Linked DNA regions of Daphnia pulex. The protein of the gene in region 2 purifies or fractionates together with the protein of the main gene of each other region. This does not show direct contact. Links are inferred from orthologs where the notes say so. Each region holds a gene or a part of one and is shown on either strand. Other genes may lie near its edges. The genes, in order: LIM domain-containing protein jub-like and serine/threonine-protein kinase Warts-like.

Region 1 (4,541 bases), on a different chromosome or scaffold from region 2:
GCCGATGAACATGGATCACCAACAAAGGGTGTTGGGTGAAGCCAGGCAACTGGCGACGCAGGGACTTCGGGTGATTGGAATGGCACGCGGAGATTCAATGGAAGCGATGGAGTTTCTCGGCATGGTCGGCCTGCACGACCCACCTCGACCGCAGGTGCGACAGGCCGTCGACATCTTCCACGGCACCGGAGTTCAAGTGGTCATGGTGACTGGCGACGCCATGGAAACGGCCGTATCCATCGCAGAACTGTTGGGGATTTACCGGCCCAACAGTACAGTCGTTTCTGGAGAGCAACTGGACGCTATGGCCGACGATGAACTAAAGGACCGCGTGATGGAGGTGTCCGTCTTTTATCGAGTGACGCCCCGTCAGAAGCTGCGCATCGTGCAAGCTTTCCAGTCTGTGGGTGCCGTGGTGGCCATGACTGGCGATGGAGTCAACGACTGTGTTGCTCTCAAAGCTGCCCATATCGGCATAGCAATGGGCAAGAACGGCACGGATGTTTCCAAAGAAGCGGCCGACATGATCTTGGTTGACGACGACTTTTACACCATCATGGCAGCTGTCGAAGAAGGTAAAGGCATCTTTTACAACATCCGCAACTTTATCCGCTTCCAGTTGAGTACGAGTATTGCTGCGCTGTCGCTCATCACCATTACAACCCTGGCTGGACTACCGAACCCGCTCAACGCCATGCAAATTCTTTGGATCAATATTTTAATGGACGGACCCCCAGCTCAAAGTCTGGGCGTTGAGCCCGTAGACAAAGATGTCATCCGGCAACCTCCACGCAGCAGCAAGCAATCAATGATTGATCGATCTCTCATCGCCAATGTACTACTTTCGGCAGCTATAATCGTCCTGGGAACTCTGTTCGTGTTCCAACGCGAGTTGCAGGATAACAAGTTAACACCTCGTGACACGACAATGACATTCACTTGCTTTGTCTTGTTCGACCTGTTCAACGCCCTTAGCTGTCGCTCGCAGGACAAATCTGTCCTGGAAATTGGACTTGGGACGAACCGGCTCTTCATTGCCGCCGTGCTCCTGTCACTCTGCGGCCAACTGCTCGTCATCTTTTTCCCACCACTCCAGTGGGTTTTCCAGACGGAAGCACTCCATTTTCAGGATATGGCCTTCCTGACGGCTATCACTTCTAGTGTCTTAATTGTATCCGAACTGAAAAAGTGGATCCAGCGACACCCGCCTTTTCGACTCTTCTCTCCGGCTGTTAACAGAGGGCGAAGTCGTTCTGATTTGATCTAACCAAAATTCTATTTCATTCAATCGTACAACATCTACTATTCTTCAACTGTCTGTCAATCTCTTGTTTTTTATTCAATTTCTTTTTCATTCATTATTGTTACTATAAAGGTATTCGTTTGACGAGTCAATAGATTGCCAAGAGAACAGAAGGGGCTTTTCGCATATTATTTCATAAAATAATGCCCAGCTTTCCCTTTCCACCCCGCCCCTCTCCATTTACCCTTAGGCAGAGACTCCAGCAGACACTCGACTGTGTACACACACACACAGCCAGTTCATTCGACACGCAATCTGTTATCACGTTTGTGTTGTGTTTTCGTAGGCGGGAATGAGTACCATTCTCTTTCTGTGACGTTGATTAGGTTCGGATATCCTTGAGACGTATTTGGCAGAGTACAAGTATTTCCATCCCTCTGATCATGGACCAGGAATTAGGCAAGAAAATGTCGGCTTTGCGACTAGCCGAAGCCAACAGAACGAGCAACATCACTCGACCTACTACTGGATTTCAGTATCCAGCTACTAGTGGCCAATTACCACCGTACAAGTATCCTAATTCAGCTGCTACTCAAATGAAATATGAACCTCAGTATGGATCTTCATCATCGGAAGGAATTTATGCCAACCTGGAGGAGCTCACTGGAAGTCCTGTCAGAGGCAGGTATGAAGATGCATTTATCCCACCTCCAGAACAATTTTCCCAAAGACTTGTTCAGATATCCAAGATATCACACGTCCCCACGCAATCCAAAGTGAGTTTGGAAGAAGCCATGCGCTACACACCACCAAACTTGGTGACTTCTGCTGACGAAGCACCTGTTTATGAGAATCTTCAATTCTACACTTCACCAAAGAAATCGTTTTCAAGTATTTCATCAGCTAGTAACATGTGTGTGCCAACCTATCAGCCAGTTTCCTCCAACCTTGCCGCATTGAAAACTGATGCCCAGTTGGCCACACAACAGCCCTTTGAGCCGAGTCAGTTTCCCCCACCTTCTACATCGATGAAATGCAAATCTTTCACACAAGCATATCCAGCACCACAAATCATCAAGCCATCTCCTCAAAGGTTTTCCCAACCTACTCCTACCTATCAACAAACTCAAAACGCTACAAGCACTACTACAACTGGATATGAAAAGTCACCTCAGCGATTCATCAAACCAGGAATGACAACTGATTCAAGCATTCAACAGATGAGTCCAGCTGGTTCCTCCCCTAAAATGCCCTTTGCAACTCTTCCTTCCAAAAAGGTTTGTACCTTCTTAGTATTTTGTTTGTGTTTGTTTAATAATTTTTGTTTTTAATTTCTTTAATTTCAGGAAACTTCTGATGCTGAGAAAAAATTTGAATCTTTCATGAAAGAAATAGAAGAAGAAATGGAGAATCAAGAACAAGATGGGGAGTTTTTTGGTAATGAATACATTTTATTTAGCAAAAATTTCACTTCCTAAAGGTTCTTTGTTGTTTTGGAACAATCGCGCACCAATAAATAGGTGTTTGTCATACTTGTGGCGAAAAAATTACTGGGGCGGCCGAAGCCTGCCAGGCAATGGGAAATCTCTATCACACTTGCTGCTTCGTATGCTGTTCCTGTGGTCGGGCCCTTCGGGGAAAAGCTTTCTATAATGTTCATGGAAAGGTTTACTGCGAGGAGGATTATTTGGTGTGTATCATTTTTATAGGTTAACTGGGCAACTTTTTGCTTATAAATCCTTTCTATTTTCACAGTACTCTGGCTTTCAACAAACTGCTGAGAAATGTGGACTGTGTGGACATTTAATAATGGAAACTGTAAGAGCTTTATTTTCTGAACAAATCCCGTTTCAATTATAATCATTAAAAAAATATGTTGTACAGATTTTACAAGCTATGGGAAAATCTTATCATCCTGGATGCTTCCGTTGCTGCGTTTGCAACGAATGCTTGGACGGGGTTCCATTCACTATCGACGTTGATCATAAAATCTACTGTGTGACCGACTACCACAGGTAAAATAAGTATTCCATCTCTTTTTTGCACCTAGATCTGTTGTACCACATTACCTGCACCACTCCGTTGCGTGTTTCTTTGGTACATGGTTTTTATTTTGAGTCAAAACTCTTACGTGCTGGGCCATTTTTTGCCTGCCTGATTGGAGGAATATTTACTTCCTAAGAGCCTGCTTAATTCTCTCTTTTTTGAACACTTTTCTTGTATCATCGTTGTCTTGCTGGGTGAAGGATGTTTGCACCGAGATGCGCAGCTTGCGATGAAATTATCACGCCTGCTCAGGTGAGAGATCTATTTGGTTCCAGGGCCCTTGACAAATTTGAATTTTGCTCATAAAAGAAAGGGATACGACATTCTTTTTTCTATGCACTTATAGGGTAGCAAAGAGACGGTACGCGTTGTGTCTATGAACAAGGATTTTCACGTTGATTGCTATGTTTGCGAGGTTTGACATTCAACAAATAAGGTCTTCTTTTCAACGCAATTTTTAAATGTTTCTTTTGCTATTAGAGTTGTGGATTACAGTTAACGGATGAGCCAGAGCGGCGATGTTATCCTTTGTACGGCCGCCTATTTTGTCGCAGCTGTCGACTTATGCAAGACACTTGAAAATTATGCAGCACACGAATACGCCAAAACCAAAATGTTTTTTTTTTACTCTTCGGTTTTCTTTCCTATTATTACGTGCGATATAAGCTTTTACATTTTGACGAAAACTTTTTAGGTTTAATTTTCAAAAACTATCCTACAAGACGTTATTTGACTTTTTTTTTGTGTGTACCTTATTCAAACTAACGTGACTAATGTCCCTAATAGATTGGCTCTGTTTTCATTGCAAATGTACACTGCACAAATACTCGGATTACACCATTAAATTTTTAGTTAATACCAACCGAACGTTATGTACATTTGTGGAGTTCAACTTCTGAATGAATGAAACAATTTTATTCAGTTAGTTTTCATTTGAGCTGTGATTGGATCACTAGCACATCCAGGGCATGTGTGCAATGTTTCTCGTATGAATAGGTCGCAGTCAAGACATACAATCTGTTTGCAGTTTTCACACTCGTAAACCTTAAAAAAATAAATAAATAACAGATGTAAGAAAATCGTCGAAGAACCAATAATCATTCTTACATTGGGATCCAATTCACCAAAAGGCTTGGCGCACGCAAAGCAATGCGTCATCTCGGGAACTTCTGTTCGTTCTATAAATGGTTTGATGGGAAAGAGATGGTGATAAGAACGGGCAAGATGAGGGGCAGAAACCAGAGTCAATCCG
Region 2 (4,614 bases):
AATATACAACAGATTACAAGGCACGGGCCGTTCGACAGGCTCACGCAAAAAAGGCACGAATTCCGCAGTTGGTTTAGTAGCCGTAACGGATGGCTTCAGATACAACACGGAATCGAAAATACACATTCGTCACGCTTGGCCGAAGGCCCTGTGCGCAAACTTCTAAACGGCAGCTCTTTACAATGTAAAGAAGATTGATAAGTCTGTAACGGGGTCCTAAATGGGGGGAGGAGGATACATAATGAAGGATTAATCAGAAGGAAAATTTGACAACAAATATAACGTCATGACAATTTATGGACGTACCCAAAATCTGAAACCTTCCCAATAAGAAAAAGGTTGTTCTTAGAAAAAAAAATTACTGTCCTACACTGGCATACAAGAATAATTAAAACACTGATTCGTAAGGCAGCCAAAAAAAGTCAATTCCTCAACCCATCACCCACCAACTCGAAATATTTCGAAAGATACATATATATAAAAGGGAGGGGGATTTAGCAATTTGATTTGCGGTTCAAAAACGGTGGGGCAGAGTATTCTTTGGACACTGTGATCTAGGGGAGACGGCAGCAACATCGCGAGATTCAGTTCCTAGTTGTGGAACAGTCGGTTAATACAGCATCAGAAGCTGTTGCTACGTCGAAACCGAATGGAATTTTGCTGCCTTCATTTTTTTAACAATTTGAAGCGTGTGCCTTTTAAAAACGTAGAAGGGAAAAAAAAGCTTTGTTTTGGTTTGGTTGGTTGGAACCTCACGATAAGGTTTTTTCAGTGAGGATAATGGAGCGTGAATCGATCACACAAACGTATACACTCGTTAATTAGACATAGACGGGCCCGTGATTGGCTTCATTATCATCAGGATTCATTCGAGGGTGACCGCCATCGTCAAAAAATCGTCTGAAAGTAAATTCAAAGAATGCGTGGACCGGGTGTTTTCCGTTATCTAGCGTGTTGTCCATCTTATCTTCATCCGCACTGTTCCGCAATTTGTCCGGCACGATCGGATCAAAATTGGACGTGTCAGTAGCAAAACGAATTTTCGGGATATAGGGAGCTGTTTTGCTGCGAAGGCCGCCCTCAAAGTCAACACCGTTGAAGAAAGGATGCGTCTTCAGTTCACCGGCACCACCCCTACCGGATCGTTGGTCGGCAGACGTACAAAGACGAACAATCAAATCTGCAGCTTCCGGTGACAAGTTGGCGTAATTAGGGATCTGCAACGTAGTCGACCAGTTGATAACCTACAAGGAAAAGTAAAAACATTAAACACTTGAACACACATTGGTTGCGAATAAGGAAAACAGTACCTTGTACTGAGTTTCAGCGGGAGTATTAGCCATAAAAGGTGGCTGCCCAACCAACATCTCATACAATATGACACCAACGCTCCACCAGTCGCAGAGCTGGGTATAGCCTGTACGTAGGAGCACTTCCGGTGCAATATAGTTTGGCGTTCCAACCAGCGAGTGTGCCAAGCAGCGTTGGTGTTCGCGACGTCGGCGTCTTTCCAACGTTTTCAGTACAGGCGGATGACCTGTAATGTGCGTTGTGCCAAGAGAGTTGCAATTACCTCCGACAGCATTATTACAACGGCACTCATTGGTCCAATCTTCTCCCGGATCAAAAGAATCCTAACATGATTAACAAGAAATATGTCAATATCGCTATTAAATATTTAGCTATTTTAATTTGTAGTAGCACGCACTTGTCTTGAATGATCGCCGTTGCGTTGATAGTATTTTGAATTGTGCGTCCAGCGGAAACCAGTACAAAGCCCAAAGTCAGTCAATTTAATATGACCGTCACGATCAATAAGAATGTTGTCTGGCTTGATATCACGGTGAATAAAACCCATTTTATGTACGCTTTCCACAGCGCATACTAATTCAGCTATATAAAACCTACATGACAAATGAAACATTCAGTAATTACGTATATTGAACGAATAATAACTACTGATTGCTAACCTTGCAAGAGGTTCTTCAAAGATCCCGAGTTTGATTAGAAGTGACATCAAATCGCCACCAGGGATGTAATCCATCACAAAATACAAATTATCCTTGTCCTAAAGTGCAGAAAAAAACCTATTTTAGATTGAGCGCACTAAGAAAAAGTTTAATAAAGTTATACCTGAAACGAGTAGTAGAGCTTGACGACCCATTCATTATCGGCTTCAGCCAAAATGTCTCGTTCGGCTTTGACGTGAGCCACCTTAACGAAAAAGTATGTAAGTAAGTGATTAAAAAAAATCTATTTTTGTGAAATATGTAAAATCAAATTTACCTGATTGCGCTTAAGAACATCTGTTTTCCTTAACGTCTTCATAGCGTAGAGATGATTATTGGTGTCAATCTTACGTACTAAAGCCACTTCACCAAATGCTCCCACTCCAATTGCTAAAAAGAAAATACATATTTCTTTTAAAGGTTCAAGATTAGACAAATCTATAATATTCACCTTTGATTTTCAAAAACATGGCTTTGTTCATCTTGGCTCGCTTCAAACGGATGTAATTAGATTCCTTTTGTGATAGCATCCGCCTCATCTGACATTGAGCCTCCTCAGACAAACCAATCTTTTTCATCTCAGTTTCCAATTGCATGCGACGTTCCATTCGCTGTTGATGCGACTTGAGAAGATTCTCAACGTGCTGTTCCATGAAGAATTTAAAGGCCTGGATATCGCGATAAAGAGATAAGACGATTGCAAATCTACACCGATCTGAGCATTCTTGTCATACCTGGGGTGAATAGTTGCGTACGCTAGATTCTCGCCTTTCTTCTTCCCTTTCTCGTGAGATATGTTTACGTTCCGGGATGGGTGACTGATGCGTCAACTTGTAAGGGGGAGGCGGAGGAGGTGGCATGTCATCTTTACCATCCTCCCCATTGGCACTGGACGGTGCACTATGGCCATTCAAATCGTTCTAAAGAAAAGTAAAATAAATTAGTGTCATGATTCAAGAAAACATAGATATGTCTTTCAAACTGAACATACCTTAGTGCTCATTCCAAGTCCCGAATCTTGCGTTCCCTCCGAAGGTGCAGATGAAGAAATAAAACTCACTGGTGATTGGCTCGGACCGCCATGGCGTCCCGAATCACACTGCGATGCTGCTGAAGACATTGGACTCTCAGAGCGCGAAGATGGAGTCTCAAGAGTCAATGGTGAAAACCGGCGCTGCCCCGGTTTTGGAGGTAACTGAGCGTGAGGTGAACCCTGTGATTCTACCTGCTGAGCAAGTCCAGTTCCACCATTTGCCTATGATGAGAGCATTGCTAAGTTTTTGCATAAGGCAGTCGATCGATTCAAGCAATAATACCATAGAGGAAGGATAAGGTGGGGGCGGCGGAGGAGTTGCGGATAAATTATATCCATTGACGGCAAGGACATTCGTGGCGTTAGTGGGGGTTGTCCCATGCTGTCTTTGAGCAGCCAAGGCCTGGAGAGGAAATCGAATAGAGTTCAAACGGGTTCGGTAGGGAATGGAGAGTTATTATATCATACCTGCATGGTCGATGCATAACTTGGTGGATCAGTCGTTGGGACGCTGACCGGCGCCGGACTGCTAGGGATTGGAGACGGCGTGCTGGCAAAAGATAGCGGACTTGGAGAGGCCATAGGAGCGTATGATGATGGTGAAGGACAGCTACTGGATGCATAGCCGGAAGAGGAATAAGGAGGCGGAGGCGGCGGAGGCGAGGCTGAAACGGCCGGATTTGAACGGACCGGGATAGGCGGTGGTGGAGGTGAACTTGATGATTGAGGAGGACCTGACGGCGCTACAGCTGTTTGCAGTATCGGTTTCTGAACCTGATGATTGATGAAACAGTAAAATAAAATAATTTAAAAAATCGGTATTGATTAGTGTCATTTGAGCTGATTTATACCTGCATGCTTTTGACAGTGATGGGTGGTTGACGGGGTGGCCAGGCTTGGTTGGGTGGACATCTCCCCCCGGCTTGAACTGACGACGACGAGGTCGGTGGTGGGAAGGGAGCCGGACTTTTGCCAGTTGGGCTGGGAAGCGTCGGGCTTTGTCGGTTAGATAATCCGCTATCCGGTCCTCGATAAGGCGGAGGAGGAGCCACTAATTTAGAAGCTGATCCGGTGGGATACGGAGGGGGTGGAGCAGAAGACGGTGGCAATGGGCTGCTGCCATTGCTGGATTGTTGTTGCTGTTGGTACATGTTTAAAGCTTGCATCTGCTGAGTCAGCTGAGCTTGTGCTTGGGGTCCATTTTGAACGACGAGGGGCGGAAGCCGACCGGGCGGAAGAGCTGGAGCCGGACTGGTCCCACGGGGTCCCGGAATAGGTGGTGCATTAGGCACGGGTGACATTCGTTTGAGCATCTGTTGAAAGTTGCTAGGATAATGTTGGCTGTTTGTTGATTTAGATGCAGCCGATGGAGGTGGGGGCAAAGGAGGAGGTGGCGGAGTGGCACCTCGAGGCGGCGGTGGTGGAGGTGGCGGATCTGACGACGACGGGTAGGCATTTCTTGACGAATAAGGCGGTGCTTCGGGTGCTACGTGACCACGAACGAGTCCCAGACCATTAAAATAGGCTGGGCTATCAGAACGGTTAGATGAAGCGGCCGAACTGGTATCAAAA

Evidence for each region.
Region 1: the proteins of serine/threonine-protein kinase Warts-like (region 2) and LIM domain-containing protein jub-like purify together in Drosophila melanogaster (affinity purification with western blotting; 4 studies listed by BioGRID). This does not show direct contact. The link is inferred for Daphnia pulex from reciprocal best matches to the Drosophila melanogaster genes wts and jub.

Annotation. Positions count from the first base shown.
Region 1 is NC_060021.1:11,750,425-11,754,965, reverse strand, and holds LIM domain-containing protein jub-like, read left to right. Parts: upstream 1-1,485; 5' UTR 1,486-1,686; coding exon 1,687-2,520; intron 2,521-2,589; coding exon 2,590-2,680; intron 2,681-2,762; exon of another isoform or gene 2,763-2,763; coding exon 2,764-2,933; exon of another isoform or gene 2,934-2,998; coding exon 2,999-3,061; exon of another isoform or gene 3,062-3,127; coding exon 3,128-3,258; exon of another isoform or gene 3,259-3,489; coding exon 3,490-3,541; exon of another isoform or gene 3,542-3,635; coding exon 3,636-3,704; exon of another isoform or gene 3,705-3,769; coding exon 3,770-3,868; 3' UTR 3,869-4,151; downstream 4,152-4,541. Other genes in the region: calcium-transporting ATPase type 2C member 1-like, read left to right, coding at 1-1,267; general transcription factor IIH subunit 2-like, read right to left, coding at 4,208-4,333, 4,397-4,541. UniProt on the Drosophila melanogaster protein: Regulates organ size by inhibiting apoptosis and promoting cell proliferation by influencing the expression of G1/S-specific cyclin-E (CycE) and apoptosis 1 inhibitor (th). Negatively regulates the Hippo signaling pathway.
Region 2 is NC_060026.1:6,952,887-6,957,500, reverse strand, and holds part of serine/threonine-protein kinase Warts-like, read right to left. Parts: coding exon 3,894-4,614; intron 3,817-3,893; coding exon 3,511-3,816; intron 3,446-3,510; coding exon 3,326-3,445; intron 3,265-3,325; coding exon 3,001-3,264; intron 2,930-3,000; coding exon 2,744-2,929; intron 2,678-2,743; coding exon 2,461-2,677; intron 2,400-2,460; coding exon 2,287-2,399; intron 2,215-2,286; coding exon 2,134-2,214; intron 2,069-2,133; coding exon 1,971-2,068; intron 1,905-1,970; coding exon 1,709-1,904; intron 1,635-1,708; coding exon 1,311-1,634; intron 1,245-1,310; coding exon 822-1,244; 3' UTR 1-821. UniProt on the Drosophila melanogaster protein: Negative regulator of Yorkie (Yki) in the Hippo/SWH (Sav/Wts/Hpo) signaling pathway that plays a pivotal role in organ size control and tumor suppression by restricting proliferation and promoting apoptosis.